Linked DNA regions of Macaca mulatta. The protein of the gene in region 1 interacts with the protein of each later gene in a pairwise test. Links are inferred from orthologs where the notes say so. Each region holds a gene or a part of one and is shown on either strand. Other genes may lie near its edges. The genes, in order: TARBP2, TCEANC and ZNF346.

Region 1 (5,609 bases):
GCCACCTCGCCCGGCTAAGTTTTTGTATTTTTAGTAGAGACGGGGTTTCACTGTGTTAGCCAGGATGGTCTCGATCTCCTGACCTTGTGATCCGCCCGTCTCAGCCTCCCAAAGTGCTGGGATTACAGGCTTGAGCCACCGCGCCCGGCGCAATTGGTTTTTAGAAGGGTTCTGCCCTCTTCAGCTATAAGAAAGCCTAGGAAATCCTGAGCCACATCTAACTTCTTGCCTCCTCTGTCTGTAACTGGGATGGGTATTTAGCTGGTGGTCTACATGTTGAGAGCTGGGGTTTTCCCAACATTACCCCAGTTGACAATGGGAGTGAGTGGATGAATGGTATGCTTGAGGGGACACACATGTTTTTTTCACCCGTGTGAGATAGGAGGGAGTGGGGCCCTAAAGCTCAGAGAAACTTCAGTGTCTGGACAGGAAGGCTCAGGGGGCACTTGAGTCCTTTCCTTCCTAAATCCTTTCTGTTAGCCTTGGCTTGGTATGACCCTCTGGCTGAAACTCAGAGCTCCTAGAGCAATGGAGTCCACCTTGAGAACTGCAAGGGAAATGTGTTTAGAGGGATGCACTGACTGTGGCTTGAGACGACTCTGGGTGGGGTAAGGAGACCTCATGTGCACTCCCTCCTGATTGGAGGCCACTCACCTATGCTCCTCTGAAAAAGGCAGCAGATGAGCATCTACAAGGTAGGACTCCTCCCTTAATTCTAAGGGACACCTCACTGTTTCCTCCCACTGTCTACAGAGCCTTGACTCTTCCCTCCTCTCAGTCAAGGCCTTGGTTACCAGCAAGTCTCAACTCTTGCTTATTTTTAAGCCAATGAGTTTGAGGAGTGTTTGTGGGAAAGGGAGGAGGTTTTTGGAGGGTTTGACTGGGGGAGACGGGTTAGGGGAGCCAGAGGAGATGGAGAGAAAGAGGAGGGAGAAACCCACACGTGAATGGGGGAGGGGAGGATGCAACAGCTGGATGGAGGTGAATGCCACAGCTGGAGGGGATTAGGAGGATCACAGCTGGAAGGGGAGGGGACCAACGCCTGGGCATCTAGGAACAGGTGCTCTCTGACTAATCTTCAGGTCCAGCCTGCTAAGTGTGTGTGTGTGTGTGTGTGTGTGTGTCTGTGTGTGTGTGGAGGGAGATGTGGGTACATCAGTCCTTGCCCTTCCTTTCCTTCCCTGGAGGGGGCCAAAACTCTCCCTCCTCCTTCCCTCTCTCCCTTCCTGAGGATGAGTGGGAGGAGATGTTCTCTTGCCCTCTGTCCTTTAAGTCTGTCCCCCAATCACCCTCCACCCCACCCCAATACGGTCCTTTCCAGCTCTGGAGGCCCTTCGTCTCCAAGCTGGGCCGCGGCATCTCTCCGCTCCATTCCCTTCCTTCCCAGCCCCACACGCGTCGGGTCCAGGTCCCCAGTTCCTCCATCCCCACAGCTTCAGCATCCCCACACCACCACCCGCACCAGGCCACATCTGCATCCCGACCCTCCCTCCACGCCCGGATCCCAGGACCCGGACCCATCCCTGCCCCCCACCCCCCCACAACTCGGCCAGGCTCTCACCTCGGGGGCTCCGCGGCCGCAGCACAAAAGGCGGCGCTGCTGCAGCTCCGCTCCGGATGCTGCTCCCGCCTCCTCCTCCTTCTCCTCCTCCTTCCCTCCTCCCCCCGCTGCCCTCCACCGGACCCGGGGCGCTGTCACAGGCGATGCTCGTGCGGTGTCCGGATGCACGGGTGTCAGCTTCAGCTTGCTGCCCCCACCCCCCGACCCCTAGCCCCGTCCCTGCTCGGCTTGAACTCCCGCTCCTTCCAGGGCCCCCGCCCCTGGCCCCCCGGGACGGACACGCCCTGAGCGGGGGATGCTGCGATGGAGCCGCCGGCCTCTTAAAGGAGCCCGCTGCTGCCATCCGGCGCGCTCCACTCTCGTCCCTGGCCCGCCTGGGCCCCGCGCTTCCCTGCTGGCGGTGTCCTATGGAGGTCCCACCTCAGGCCTTAGGCTGATTCCACAGGAACCCCCTATGACTCGTCTTATAGACTCCTTTCTACATCGGAGAGAGCAGCCCCTCAGTTGGGATCCCTAGCGCTCTGGCATTGCTCCCCCTATCATACTGATCTTGCCAGCTCTCCTTCCCTTGATTGTCACCGCTCACTCTAATTTCACCCACTTGGAATTCACTCGACTCTAGGCCCCATCCTCCTCCAGTGTTCCTGGATGACCCCTCATTATCATTTAAAGATTCCTCTGGACCTCCAGCCCCGCCTCAGAGTAAGACATCTCTTTCTTGACCCCTTCTCAGAACACTCATTAGAACCTTTATTTATTTATTTATTTTTAAAAAATGTGATATCTCCCTTTCTCCAAGGTCACAAGATTTCCCTTAGCCCAGTGGTTGTGCGACTTTGGGGGAGGAGGCAATGGGGCTCTAGGACTAAAAAATTTGCGTCTGCTCAACACCCAGATCAGTTGATTAGTCTTAGGCGGCCAAAATTCACTCTTGCTTTCTTCAGCTGAGAGACCCAAGACTCATGGCAGAGGGAACGAGACCACCAGGTGCCTAGTCCTTCTAATCCTGTCGCCCCACACCACAGCCTGATTATCAGGCCCCAGAGATTTCCTTGCCAGTTAGAGAGGTTCACTAGAGCCGTTCTAAAAAGGTTTTACAAAAGAAGCAAAACCTGAAGGAGGTGAAGGACAACCTAGGAAGAGGAAGCAAGTTCTGTGTCACGGAGGCCCAAGGGCCAGGGGCTTAGGCTGTGGGTTGAGGGGACTGTCTGAGACTGACTTGGATCTGCACCAGCTCCAGAGCCCTGCGTAGACAGACATCGGTCCCCTCCGGCGTCTAGGTAAAGCCCACCCTCTCAGACCTCAAAGAGCCCGGATCCGACAGCAACCTCTCCGGACCAATCACAACCTTCCTTCACCAAGGAGGCGGGGTCAGGGGGCTGACTTTTCCTTGTCCCCGCCCCTTTGGTCGAAGTAACCAATTCCAATGTGCCTAGAGGAAGTAAACGCAATGGGAGTAACCAATGACAACATGAAGCTTCTCGTGCGTGCTTGACCCTGCCCCTCCAGCTGCGGCAAAGATGGCGCGCGGGCTCCTGGGTTCTGTAGTTTTCTCGGGATCCAAAAGGCTCCGTGCCCAAGTGAGTCCTTACCGCCCCGCTACCCAGCGGCTTCCCCTCCGCTAGTACGCATGTCCACAGCCTCACGGCCCGGGAGAGAGGGGGCGCGGAAGGAAGGAGGCGGGACGGTATTACAAACAAAAAAATACAGCCTTCTCGAGAAGCGACTGCGGAGAGCCCGCTCCTCCCAGAAGGCGGTGCAGCCGGCCCGGGCGAGCCACGCGGAGGGTTGTGGGGCGGATAGCTCCCCTCCAGATGGAGGCTCATGAAGTAGGGTGGGCGGGGGACTCCATATCCCAGCGTGCCCCTCGGCGGGCCCTACCGGCCGCGACTCCGGGCTTGGCCCCGGCCCTAGCTCGTCGGCGGTGTATTGGGGCGCGTGGAGGCTGCAGTCACGGTGGCGCCCGCGGGGACGGAGGAGGGAATGAGTGAAGAGGAGCAAGGCTCCGGCATTACCACGGGCTGCGGGCTGCCTAGGTGAGCCGCCTCGTACCGATTCCTTCTGGGCAAAAAGCGTGGGGCCGTGCGGAGGGAGTAGCGGCGCGGCCCCAGCATGCACCTGGCCTGAGGGTTGTTCCCGGCAAGCACTGGGGCAGTGGGCAGTGGTTCCCGGCGTGCACCGGGGCAGTGGCTGCTGCCTTCAGCTCTAAATAGTTTGGGGTTGGCCCGGTTCCCAGACTGCACTGGAACACTGGGCTTTATGCCCCCACATTCAGTGCATTTGGTGGGTACTGGGTTCCTGGCTTGCACTGTGTCAGGGGGTATGCACTTTCAACCTGCATGGGGCACAGGATCGTGCCCACCTTAACTGAGGCAGGAGCAGTGCATTCTTCCCCCCTTGCTTTGAGGTAGTGGGCCCTACTCTTCCAGCCTGCACCTACACTTGGAACCCAGCCAATGGATGCTAGACTGCCTGGGGTTCCTTGGACCCTATGTCCCCCATAATGTGCCTAGGTCTGGTATGGAAGTGCTTGGCCAGGTGGGTGCAGAGAGGGGAGGTGTGATATGGGTCTGTGCCCCTTCCCCCAGTATAGAGCAAATGCTGGCCGCCAACCCAGGCAAGACCCCGATCAGCCTTCTGCAGGAGTATGGGACCAGAATAGGGAAGACGCCTGTGTACGACCTTCTCAAAGCCGAGGGCCAAGCCCACCAGCCTAATTTCACCTTCCGGGTCACCGTTGGCGACACCAGCTGCACTGGTGAGGAAGGCTTGGGCAGCCTGGCTGGGGTGTGCATTTGCAGGTCCCCATGACTTTGTTTCTTGGAGTCTCTTTCTTCACAGTCCTTTTCTTCAAGGCCAGTGAGGGAAGGAGAGATTTCAGGGGAAAAGCTACTGACTGGATTGGGAGAACAGGGCTGTGAGAAGGTGGGTAGGACGTGGGAGAGTTAGAGGATCGATCAGGACTGCCACATCACCCTAGAGGAAAAGGAAGAGAAGATAACTGAAATCCCAGTGGAGTATTTGGGGGAGTGAGTGCCTGGCATGCTGGGCTCTGTTCCCGGTGCTTAACCAAATTCCCATTTAATTTTAAACCTCAGTCTAACCAGTGATGTAGGTGGCAGTATCCCCCCCCACTCCTCCCCCCGCCCGCCCATGTTGAATATGAGGAAACTGAGTATTTGAGATAGTAAATGGCTGGTGCATGGTCACATGCCTAGTGTGTGGCGGAGTGGGGCTTTTACTCCAGAGCCTACCCTCTCTTATTCCAGCTCTCTGTTTTTATTGAGGGAAAAGAAAGTGCTTTGCAAAGGAAATTAAAGCATTTGAGTTCAGAAGTCCACCCAAGGCGTTTGAGCTCAGAAGTCCTGCTTGGCATGGCTTAATTCTGGTCTGGAAGCTAATGGAAAGATAAGGGCTCTTCCTTCTAGCAATTAGTGAAACACTTCCAGTCTTCAGCAGGGGGTGGTTGGTCAGAAGGGGCTTGATGGATTCCCACTGGCTCTGAGGAGAGAGGCTGTGGGATGCTGGTTTCTCTCCCATCCTTCCAGTGACCTCCAGTATTGCCCATGCCCCCTCTCTCAGGTCAGGGCCCCAGCAAGAAGGCAGCCAAGCACAAGGCAGCTGAGGTGGCCCTCAAACACCTCAAAGGGGGGAGCATGCTGGAGCCGGCCTTGGAGGACAGCAGGTGAGGGAGGAACCGAGGCATCCCAGAAGCCCTTCAAGGAACCCAGGCCCTGCACCACCCCCTCTGCCACCAGGCCTGGCCAGGTGACACTTAGCCACCCTGACCTGGCCTCTTCCTGAGAGTCCCTCTGGACCTGAACAGGGTCTTCCAGGGCGTTTGCTGCTATGAAGAATTCTTGGGGTGGAGGGGTTGGTTAGCCCCATAGAGGGGTTGTGGCAGTAGATTGGGACCTGGGTTAGGGAGGGAGAGGGGTGGAGGCTGAGGCTAAAGGGAGTTGCTCCCCAACATACCTCCTTGTTCTAGCAAGATGTCCTTCCTTCACGCGCAGGTTGGAGTTTGTTGCTCCTCTGGTTCTTTGGTACA
Region 2 (5,780 bases), on another chromosome or scaffold:
GTTTCTCTGACCTCATTCCATGGAAAACATCTGTAACTGTTCCCTCAGCAATGTGTAACATTAGCCTCTGGAGAAGGCCCATAAAGGATTTTGCCTCTCTTCCTTGGGAATTCGCAGGAAAGGGCTGTCTGCATGAGCTCAGAATATCTGTTAATATATTGCTACTCAGAGACTTAATAAGGATTGAAAAGAGGTTTCCGCTGCACTAAGGGAAATTTATCAAAGAGAATTCCAGAGTATTGAAGCAGCTGAAAGATGATTTTAAAACAAAGGCCTGAAAACTATGCATGATAAATTATCACAGATGTGAGTACTTTTATAAGTATTCCATTTTTAAATTGCCCAAAAGAACCAACTTTTCAGCAACCTCTTTAGAATCCATTGGCAGCCCTAGATTCATTCCAGATGAACTGGGCCAGAAATTTCTACAGCAAAGGTCAGGGAGGTCCATTCACTGACCTCCCTTCCTTGCTCCTTGGCTATAAATTCTCACTTTTCCATGCCACATTTGAAGTTGAGCCCAATCTCTCTTCCCCACTGCAAGACCCTGTTGCAGTGGTCCCTATGTCTACCTCAATGGTCCTGAATAAAGTCTTCCTTACCATGCTTTAACAAGTGACAAGTGTCATTAAATAATTTTCTTTTCTTTTCTTTTTTTTTTTTTTAGACAAAGTCTTGCTCTGTCGCTAGGCTGGAGTGCAGGGCACGATCTCAGCTCACTGCAACCTCCGCCTCCTGGGTTCAAGCGATTCTCTGCCTCAGCCTCCCAAGTAGCTGGGATTACAGGCACGTGCCACCACGCCCGGCTAATTTTTTGTATTTTTAGTAGAGACGGGGTTTCACCGTGTTAGCCAGGATGGTCTTGAGCTCCTGACCTTGTGATCCGCCTGCCTCAGCCTCCCAAAGTGCTGGGGTTACAGGCGTGAGCCACCACGCCCAGCCAAATAATTTTTTCTTCAACAAGGTATTATATAATTCTTAAGTGAAAATTGCATTACAATTTACAATGGCAAACATTTTAGCCCTGTAATAGACAGCAAGATAAAAGTAACCCCTGACAGCTCTGAGCTGACCCGGCAGTCACAGCTGGGCCTTGGTGCTCCGTGGAACATAAATACTTCACAGAACACCATCAGACGTGACCACTCTTTGACCGGATGGATCAAGACAAAAACAAGACTCCTTTGTAATCACGTGGGAATGCTGAAAAAACATAAACATTGTCCAAACCACAAAAATGACCAAACATCCCCTATCCCAGTTAATGAGTTACTGGTCTTGTCTCCCCTCCTTTTAGGTAAGTTAATGAGTCACTGGTCTTGTCTCCCCTCCTTTTAGGTAAGATTTATTATGATACTTAATCATACAATCGCCCTCCTTTCTGCCAGCACCCAGTCCAGAGTATTGGATTGGATAATCTGCTTCCCTGAACCTTTCCCCAAATTACTTTGGAGTAAGGCATCAGCATAGGAGGCTGTCACATTCGTTCAACCATCACTGTGCTTTTACTGGCCCTTTGCAGGCAAAGAATGAGAATGTGCACAGATGAGAAGTCCAGGATGCACATGACCACTCAATTAACATTTACTACTTTCATATCAACTGTTGCATGCTAGGATGTTAAAAACACTTTTTGAATTAATTACTGCGTTAAATAGATTCACATTTATGTCTACGGTTATGTGAACATCTAGCTGAACACTGTCTTGACTGTCCTGAGTAGAAGCAGAACAGGTAAGTTGTAAAGTACGTCAACAACCTTTGCTGCTAAAAAACGAAAGTGCAGTTTCTTTCTATCGGGCCAGGGGCGGGGCCATAGCTCCTCCTCCAGGAAGCCGCGCGAGCCCAGTCCCACGGCCGCCGCCGTTCGCTCTACGCATGCGCCATTTCCCTAGTGCGCATGCGCCGGGTCCCAGGCCCACGTGCGCCAGCCTGTGGGCTTGGATTGGCTAAGCCTTGAAGTTGTCCCTGTCCCGGTGACCGGAAGTTCTCCGTGGACGCTGGGCGGCTGAAAGCTCCGGAACTGCGCCTGCGCTTTTCAGTGAGTCATGCTTCAGGTTTGCCAGGGCCTGTGTCCCGCAGAAAGGCGAGCCCTTGTTCCCAGCGGAAGCCCACCCCGGCTCGCGGCGGCTTTCCGGTGCGCCCTGGGCGGCGTAGGTCCAAAGGTGCTCTCACCCCCGCCCCTTCCTCTCCGACTGCCGAGGTCGCCAGAGTGGGCTGAACCCTCGGGACTGCAGCTGCTTGTGTGCTGGGTGCTGGGCCGTCATCCCAAGATGATTAGCGGCAGGCTTTGCATGTTGCTCGACCCCACCCACCGGAACTCGAACCCGGGTTAGACCGGGCTGTTGGGCTGGTCTCTTCCTCTCGCTGCACCTTTACTAGGGGTCACCATTAAGGGAAAGGGCCCTAGCGCAGTACTGAGTGGCAGTTAAGTAACCGCTACACCACTGCCAACATTTGGCATCATTTCTCTCCATAGAGGGCGGGGCTCTCTGTGAAGCTGGGGAGCTGTAAGTGGGTTAGGGCTAGAAAGTTACACTTTCTCTTTAGGCTTTAAAGAGATCTAAAGATCTGAACAGATCTAGGTTATTATTGACTTTTTACCAACTTCTGGAAACATTGTTTCCAGAACTTTCCTCTCGTTCTTCTCAGGGTTTAGGCCATTTTTGTGCAGATGTGTGCACCTTGCTTACTATAATATTAGCTAATCTTTGTAAGTTTTTATATGGATCCAATACCATATTTCGTGCCTACTTTTCCTGGCACTGTATAAACTTTTTGGTATAGGTATGCATCTAAGCATTATCCATATTAGCATCAGTTCTAGAACCGTGGTGTCCAATAATGATAGCCATTAGTTACATAAGGCTTGAGCACTTGAAATGTGGCTTGTCCGAATTGAGATGTGCTATAAGTGTAAGACAGTGAAGTTTGGAAAATTAGCATGAAAAAGAATGTAAACTATCTCAATTTGTTTATATTAATCACGTGTTGAGATGACTATTCTGGATATACTGGGTTAAATAAAATGTATAATTTCAATTTTTATTTTTTAACATGACTACTGGAAAATTTTAAATCATATTTGTGGTTTACATGTTATATTTATGTTGCACAGCCCTGCTCTAGAAAAGGGTCAACAAACTATGACCTGCAGCCAAATCTAGCCTGCCTGTTTTTGTAAACAAGTGTTACCAGAACAAGATCATGCCTATCCATTTATGTTATTTTCTGTATCTGCTGTTGCTGCTACAAGAGCAACAGAGTTGAGTAGTCCATAGAGATTGTATGGCCTACAAAGCCTAAAATATGTACCTTCTGATCTTTAACAGAAAAAGTGTGCTGACCCCCTGCTCTAGAACAATGCCTGGTTTGGTAGATATTTTTAAGCCTTTTAATTGTAGACTCACATCCTGTTATTCACACTTACTGTGTGACAGCCATAGTTCAAAGCACTTTATCAAGACTTTCATTTAATTCTCATTAATCCTAGGATGTTGGATTTCTCCCATTTTGTAGATGAGGAAATTGAGGCACAGAATGGTCAGGAAACTTATCCAACTTGCTCAGCACCCCTCATTTCTAGGAACTGGACCTGCTTGACCTTCTTTATGCAAATGTTTTGACCCCCCAACCCCTTTTGATTAGCCCACAGTGGGCACCATGGTTCTGGTGGTGGTGGTTGTTTTGTTTTGTTTTTTTAACAAGATATATTTGAACTAGAATTTTTTGAATTATTTTTTTGAACTAGAATCGAGATGGACTTGGTCTCCTGCGGAAGAAGCCGAGGAGCACTGGGCTTAGGTGCAATGAGTACAAGCAAGCTGGTGTGTAGTGAAAAGAAATGAAGCTCACAAGCAGAGAAGAGAGAGAGCATCCTGTATGCTCATCACTCATTTAACAACAACAAAAATGTGTTAAGTAATAGTAAGCACTGGCTGGGTGTTTGCTAGGTGTGTATAGGTGAATAAAACATGTGGATCTTCTCTTATGGTCTTGTGGGGAAGGCAGTAAAAACGTTTTTTAAATGTGATGAACACCCTGAAAAAAAAACATGCAAATTATTTACTGTTTTTAGCAGGTTTCCTCACCTGTAAGATGAAAATAAGCCATTATCTGTATTTCAGGAATATTGTGAGGATTGAGATGACAGGAGAGTGTATGTCCCAGAGAGTTGCTCAATAAATATATGTTGCCTTCCACTGTGAAGAGGTAAGTGAGGGGGTGAGTATCAGGGATTGTGTACATTATGACATTTAAAATATTACAGTTGTCATGTGTAATTTGTGGAGAAGGTTGTCAGCTGCATTGTTCACAGTAGGTGTTTCAAATCTTTTCTGACTGAATGAGACTCATCTAGAAAAAGCCAAAGTCAGAGTTGTCTGCATTCAGTCCAGGAGCAGAACCAGAGCTGTCTTTGGGGCTGATGGCAGCCTAACTGGGAGGTCCTGCTGGGGTGTGGAGGAGGGTTGTATGCCTGTGTGTGGTTTAAATCAGAGTCACCCTGGAGAGCTGAGCCAGTGTGCAGGCCCTACCCTCAGAGATCCTAATTCATCCTATCTGGAGTGAGGCCCTGCCATTGTTTGTTTTTGTTTTTTGTTGTTTAATTTCCCCCAGATGATTCTAATGTGCAATCAGGGTTAAGAACCACTAATGGTGGGAGATCAGCCAGGCTCAGGATGCTGCTTGAGCAAAGGCACAGAGCTGTGCCCATCAGTGGTTGAGAGTAGTCAAGAGGGAGGCCTGCTACGGCTCTTTTTGCCACTGGCCAAGAAGCTTTGGCTCCATCATGAAAGCAAGGGGAAACCTCTGAAGGGCTTTAAGCAGGAAAATGAGGGAATATCTTGCTGAGATCTGTACTAGAGGATGATCCCTCTAACAAAGTGCCAGACTCACTTTGTGAGTAGAGTGTAGAAGTAGAGTGAAGGCAGTGAAGAAGCAAATTGTAGCTGTCCAGATGATGGAGAGCCCAGATAGGGTTTGGTACCACCCTGTGTGTGTTTTCTCTAGCAGCCAGTGTCTGTCCACGTTGAAATACCACATGTGTTGTAACTGGCCAGTTTCTTGTCAGTATTACTTCCACTAGGCTATCAGCTCCTTCAAGGCAGAGACTGTTTAGGCTCAGCATCTAGCACATACTCTATCCCTAATATATATTTATTGAATGAACTATGTAGAACTAAGCTGGACATATGCCTTACTTTGTCTTTTTATAGCAATTGTCAGAATTTTATATCTCAATGGCTTCCACGTTATACCCTCCTAGGGCAATAAATCCTTTATATCCACATGATGGTCCCACAGAGGACTAGAAAGTTTGACTGGATTTAAATGCTATTAAAAATGTGGAAGGGAATGGAAAACAATATAGTGGGTCCTCAAAAAATTAAAACTAGAATTACCATATAATCCAGCAATTCCATTTTTTAGTATATACTCAGAAGAATTGAAAGCAGGGTCTCAAAGAGAGATTGGTATACCAGTGCTCACAGCAGTGTTATTCACAATAGCCAAAAGCTAGAGGTAACCCAAGTATCCATCGACATTTGAATGGGTAAACAAAATGTGTTATATATAGACAATGGAATATTATTCATTCTTAAAAAGGAAGGAAGTTCTGACACACGCTACAACATAGATGAACCTTGAGGACATTATGCTAAGTGAAATAAGCAAGTCACAAAAAGAGAAATACTGTGTGATTCCACTCACATGAAGTACCTAGAGTAGTCTCATCCATAGAGACAGAAAGTCGAGTGGTGATTGCCAGAGACTGGAGG
Region 3 (5,932 bases), on another chromosome or scaffold:
CTACTCAGGAGGCTGAGGCAGGAGAATCGCTTGAACCCAGGAGGTGGAGGTTGCAGTGAACTGTGATCGTGCCACTGCACTCCAGCCTGGGCAACAGAGACTCTATCTATAAAACAAAACAAAACAAAAAAGTTGTAAAGCATTGGCCAAACATCAGTCACGTACTGTATTGGAAAATTGGAAGCTCTGAGACCTGAGGCCTGATATAGAGCTGGTGCTCAGTATTTGTAGAATGAATAAGGAAATACTTGTAGTATAAATGACTAAATTACACCAATGAGCTATATGATCTCAAGCAAAAATAATTCATATCTGTCTCTCTTTGGCCTCGTCTGATACTACTTTCCCCCTTGTTCACTGGGCTCCAGCCATGCTTTCCTTTTTCCTGTTCCTCCAACACATCAAGCTCTCTCCTGCCTCAGGGCCTTTTTACCTGCTGTTCTCTCTGCTAGAACACTCTTGCCCAGCTTTTTGCATGGCTACCCCTTCTCATTAATCAGGTCTTAGCTCAAATGTCATTTTCCCAGAGGCTTCCCCTGACACCACCCTGACTAATGTTCCTAACACATCATTCACCTGAGATATATTCCTGTTTTATCTTCTCCTTAGCACTTATTACTGTTAACCTTTTTTTTTTTTTCTTTTTTTGAGACAGAGTCTCACTCTGTTGCCCAGGATGGAGTGCAGTGGTGCGATCTCGGCTCACTGCAAGCTCCGCCTCGCGGGTTCATGCCATTTTCCTCCCTCAGCCTCCCGAGTAGCTGGGACTACAGGCGCCTGCCACCACGCCTGGCTAATTTTTCTGTATTTTTAGTAAGGATAAGGTTTCACCGTGTTAGCCAGGATGGTCTCGATCTCCTGACCTCATGATCCGCCTGCCTTGGCCTCCCAAAGTGCTGGGATTACAGGCGTGAGCCACCGCGCCCGGCCTACTGTTAACTTTTTTATTGTAGTCTCCTCCACTACAATAAAAAATACTAGAGTTTCCCTGTCTTGTTCACTACTATATTTCCATGCTCAAAATATCATCTAGCTCATAGTAAATTCTCCGTATTTGAACAAATAAGGTTGAAATAAGCTAGTAATATTAAAAACTTCATTCATTAAACAAATATTTTGTATGTACCTAGGAGGGTCCAGGTTCTATTTCAAAGTGCTGGAGATTCAGGTACAATGAAAAGAGACAAAAGGCTGGGCGCGGTGACATGTGCCTGTAATCCCAGCACTTCGGGAGGCTGAGGTGGGACGATTACGAGGTCAGGAGTTCGAGATCAGCCTAGCTAACATAGTGAAACCCTGTCTTTACCAAAAATACAAAAATTAGCTGGATGCAGTGGCATGTACCTGTAATCCCAGCTACACGGGAGGCTGAAGCAGGAGAATTGCTTGAACCCGGGAGGCGGAAGTTGCAGTGAGCCGAGATCGCATCACTGCACTCCAACGTGGCGACAGAGCAAAACTCCGTCTCAAAAAAAAAAAAGAAAAAGAAAAGAAAATAGACAAAAATCCCTGCCTTCCTGGGGCTTGCCTTCTAGTAGGTAGACAGACAATAAACAAGATAAAAAGTAAAATATATATGAAATAAAGCAGGAAAGGAGGACATGAAGTATGTGTGGAAAAGTAACATTTTAGATGATAGCCAGAGAAGGTATTTTAGATACAGTAGCCAGAGAAGGAAGTGGGAGACTGAGCCATGAAGATATATGGGAGAAATGCACCCCAGGAGGCCTGTGTAACCGGGACAGGAATTAAGGAGTTGGAGACTGAGTGATACATCAGGATCAGGGAGGTTAAGTGAAGTCAGATTGTACAGGGCCTTGTTGGTCAAAGTAAGGACTTTGGCTTTTACTAACAGTGAGATGGGAAGCTGTTGGAGGATTTGAGAACCTAAGTGTCATGATCTGACTTGTCATAAGAGGATCCCTGGGACTGCTGTGCTGTGAATACCAATGAGGTGGCTACTACAATAACCTAGGCAAGAGATGATGGCTCCCAAAGACACGGGAAGGAGCAGCTCTGGGGTTGGAAAATAAAATTTGGGGTCTGACAGCTACATTGGAGAAGCCTATTAGCCATTCGAGTGAACTGTGGAAGAGGCAACTGGATGTGTACAGGTCCGGAGTCTCAGGGAAAATCAGAGCTGGGAGCCGGCACTTGGAACTCAACAAGTAGAATCTATTATTAGTAATACGGAACCTCAGCTGTACTACTACTTACTAGCAGCGAACTGTTGAGTTAACCATTTCTAGGTTCTGGGCCTCAGTTTCCCTGTAAATGAAATGGCGAAAACACTCCCACATAACGGAACCTTGAGAACGAAATGAAAAGTATCAAGGGCTGACCGTGAGGAAGGTGAGAGTCCTGAGCCAAAACCGTACTAGCCTCTCCGGGAGGGGGTGTCACTGCTGCGGAATCAGCGACAGGTTTCCGAATCCACACCACACGCTGGGGGTACCAGAGGTAGCAAAGCAAAATAAGCGCCAGGTACCGCACGGCAGCGCCCAAACCTCGCGAGATTTGTTGGCCGGACCAAGTACCACTCCCCCAATCTCGCGATATTTAGGCGCCTGAGCGGCTCTCCACCGGCGAGGGTTTGCGGGGAAGATGGCGTATCCCGCGCCGGCCACAGTGGAGGCCGCAGACGGCGGAGGGGCCGGGCGTTACAACAGCTCGGAGGAGCTAGAGGGCCAGGAGCCGGATGGGGTGCGCTTTGACCGCGAGAGGGCGCGCCGCCTGTGGGAAGCCGTGTCCGGTGCCCAGCCGGTGGGTAGGGAGGAAGGTGAGTCGGGGGCTTTGGAGGCAGGAAGCCCCTCACCCGCCTGCGCGGCTCGCGGGGAGCTGCGGAAGCGCCTGCGGTCACACCCCCCTGGCCCGCCTCCTTGCGTGCTGCGCTCCGGGACCCCCAGACTTGTGCTCCCCATTCAGGCGCGGGCACCCCAAGAATCGGGCCCCCAGCGCGCTGAGGGTGATCACGGCCGCTCACGCTCAGGCCCAGAGCTTTTCCCCTCCTCCTTCATCAGTCACTACAGCGCAGTTTTTCCCGAATTCGAAGATCGTCATCCCTATGCTTGTCGGAGACCCACAGTCTTTGCCATCCCCGTAATTCAGGCCGAGTGCCCCTCGCCACTCCTTGACTCCTCATCGTCCCAATCTCCAGATTTCCTCGTAGAGCCTCTTGCCTCCCTTCTGTCAGGCCTCACACTTCCGAGGGCTCTGGAAGGCCTTCTCCTTACCCCCGGGTTCCTCCTGGTCTTGGTGACTGAGCCGTGGCTTACCCGTTTTTAGCTCTCTGGCTTCTACTTGCTGGGTTCCTTATTCTAAGGTGGGGACAAGGAGACTGAGAAACTGGTCTGGGTTCGCTTTGACTCCAGCTTCTTTGTGTTCTACACTTGACCCAAAGTTGCTGAGAACAGTATAAGCAAAGCCACGTCAGGGGTCACTTCTGGGCCGAAGTGTGCCAGCTTGCTGCGCACTTGACCTGAGACTGGGTAAGATGGGATGAAAGAAAGAGAAGGATGGGAAAGAGCTGTTCTGACCTTCTTGTGTGACTCCCTTCACCGTCCTTTACAGAGCCAGCTGCTTAATGCTAACCCAAGTGTCCAAGAACTCTATCTGGGCTTCTCTGCTAACCCTGTCAGGTATCTGGAGGGAAATCAGATTTCTCCAGTGATTTGTTTGCTTGCTGAGCAGACTTGTCATGGAAAGTTTAATATGCTATTTGTCAACTGACTGCCCTGGATAAAATTGAAATTTGGACCATATCTAAGGAACATATGTTTAAATTAGGGGTGATACACAGACCTATACCCTGGTATATAATTCTCCAATTTAAAAACAAGTCTAGCCTGTCTCCTAAGTTTATATATATATATATTAAAAAGAAAGGCAGGGCCCCAGAAATGGTATGTGTGTGTATGTGTATATGTGTGTGTATATTTACATATATGTGTATATATAAATATATACACACATACCATTTCTGGGACCCTCTCTCCTTTTTCTTTTTCCTTTTTTTTTTTTTGAGAGAGTCTCCCTCTGTCACCCAGGTTGGAGTGCAGTGGCACAATCCCACCGCAACCTCTGCCTCCCAGGTTCAAGCAGTTCTATGCTGCCCCAGCCCCCGGAGTAGCTGGGATTACAGGTGACCACCATCATGCTCAGCTGATTTTTGTATTTTTAGTAGAGATGGGGTTTGACCATGTTGGCCAGGCTGTTCTCGAACTCCTGACCTCAAGTGATCTGCCTTCCTTGACCTCCCAAAGTGCTGGGATCACAGGCATGAGCCACCACACCCGGCTCTCCTACTTTCAAACTTGTTTGGTAGTTTCCTTGCTCTACCCCAATTTTCCTTTCATTAATTTGACAAACATTCACAGATGTCTGCTCTCGACCCAGAATTGGTTGAGCTTCAGAGCTGGAGTATCAGAGAAAGATATTGTCCTTTCCCTGGAAAGGCTTGCAGTCTAGTCCAGGAAGCAGACACTAAAACAGTTCCAGTGTAATGTAAAGGATGCAGTGCTGAGGAATGTTTTAAGAGTTGGAGGTGCACAAAAGGTGACCTTTGCCCTAGATCTTGAAGCAGAAAACCACTGTGCTCTAAAAAGTGAACTGTCTGCTATGTGTATGTGAGTGTACAGTGGCACTGTTACGACCCATTTCATTTCCCTGTTCTCCTCACTTCTCGCACATTTATATGAAATCTAAGTAGACACCTGCAACATTAAGTTCTACTCACTCTTTTTCTTCTCTTAGCACCTTCATTGAGTTACAGTTTATATACCATACAAGTCGCCCATTGTAAGCATATCGCCAATGATTGTTAGCCAATGTACAGTTGTATAGCCATTACCACAGTCCAGTTTTAGAACATTTCCATCACCCCAATTAGTTCCTTTGAGCTTACTTATATTAAATCCCCACTCCCACCTCCTGCCCTAGGCAACCAGTGATCTGTTTTCTGTCTTGGGTAGTCTTTTGAGTTTGGCTTCTCTCGGCATGTTTTTGAAGGTCAGCCAAGTCATGGTGTGTATTAGTACTTCATTTTTATTGCTAAATAGAATTCCATTGAATGAATATAACACATTCTATTAATCTGTTCATTATTTCTAGACATTTGGATTGTTTCCAGTTTGGAGTTTTTGTGAATAGTGCTGCTGCGAACATTCATGCCCAAGTTTTTGTGTGAACATACGTTTCATTTCTTGAGTATATCCCTAAGAATGGAATTGCTGGGTCATATCGTAACTCTAACATTTTGAAGAACTGCCAAACTTTTCCAAAATGGCTTCACCTTTTATATTTCTGCCTTCAATGTATGAGGGTTTTGCTTTTTCTATAACCTTGACAACACTTGTCTTTTTTGATTATAGGCATTCTAGTGGGCATGTAGTGATATCTCATTGTGGTTTCCTAAAGACTGATAATACTGAGCACCTTTTCATGGGCTAACTACCCATTTGTAGATCTTTGGTGAAATATCTATTGATATCATTTGCCTATTTTGTAATTGGGCTGTTTGTCTTCTACTGAGTTGTAAGAGTTGTCTGTGTGTTCTGGGTACAAGTCTTTTATTATAGATACGGTTTCCAAAGATTCCCCCCGACTGACTTGTGTTTTCATTTTCTAAACAGTGCCTTTTGAAGCACAAAAGTTTTAAGTTTTGATGAAATTAAATTTATCAGTTTTTTATCCTATGTATTGTGCTTGTAGTGTCATATCTAATAACTCTTTATCTTAACCCAAGATTTGAGAAATTTTCTCTTATAGATCTTCTTAATTTTTTTTTTTTTTTTGAGACGCAGTCTCACCGTTACCCAGGCTGGAGTGCAGACGGAATCCCACTCTGTCGCCCATGCTAGAGTGTGGTGGCATGATCTCAGTTCACTGCAGCCTCCCTGTCCCAGATTCAAGTGATTCTTGAGCCTCAGCCTCC

The links.
Region 2: the proteins of TARBP2 (region 1) and TCEANC interact in binary tests that used the Homo sapiens proteins (3 or more experiments, as listed by UniProt). The two-hybrid records come from large-scale screens. The link is inferred for Macaca mulatta from reciprocal best matches to the Homo sapiens genes TARBP2 and TCEANC.
Region 3: the proteins of TARBP2 (region 1) and ZNF346 interact in binary tests that used the Homo sapiens proteins (3 or more experiments, as listed by UniProt). The two-hybrid records come from large-scale screens. The link is inferred for Macaca mulatta from reciprocal best matches to the Homo sapiens genes TARBP2 and ZNF346.

What each region holds. Positions count from the first base shown.
Region 1 is NC_133416.1:60,654,303-60,659,911, forward strand, and holds the start of TARBP2 (RISC-loading complex subunit TARBP2), read left to right. Parts: upstream 1-1,592; 5' UTR 1,593-3,544; coding exon 3,545-3,597; intron 3,598-3,708; exon of another isoform or gene 3,709-3,844; intron 3,845-4,149; coding exon 4,150-4,319; intron 4,320-5,143; coding exon 5,144-5,246; intron 5,247-5,609. UniProt on the Homo sapiens protein: Required for formation of the RNA induced silencing complex (RISC). Component of the RISC loading complex (RLC), also known as the micro-RNA (miRNA) loading complex (miRLC), which is composed of DICER1, AGO2 and TARBP2.
Region 2 is NC_133426.1:13,299,144-13,304,923, forward strand, and holds the start of TCEANC (transcription elongation factor A N-terminal and central domain-containing protein), read left to right. Parts: upstream 1-1,921; 5' UTR 1,922-2,041; exon of another isoform or gene 2,042-2,331; intron 2,332-3,751; exon of another isoform or gene 3,752-3,927; intron 3,928-4,127; 5' UTR 4,128-4,189; coding exon 4,190-4,212; intron 4,213-5,780.
Region 3 is NC_133411.1:185,970,368-185,976,299, forward strand, and holds the start of ZNF346 (zinc finger protein 346), read left to right. Parts: upstream 1-2,561; 5' UTR 2,562-2,604; coding exon 2,605-2,779; intron 2,780-5,932.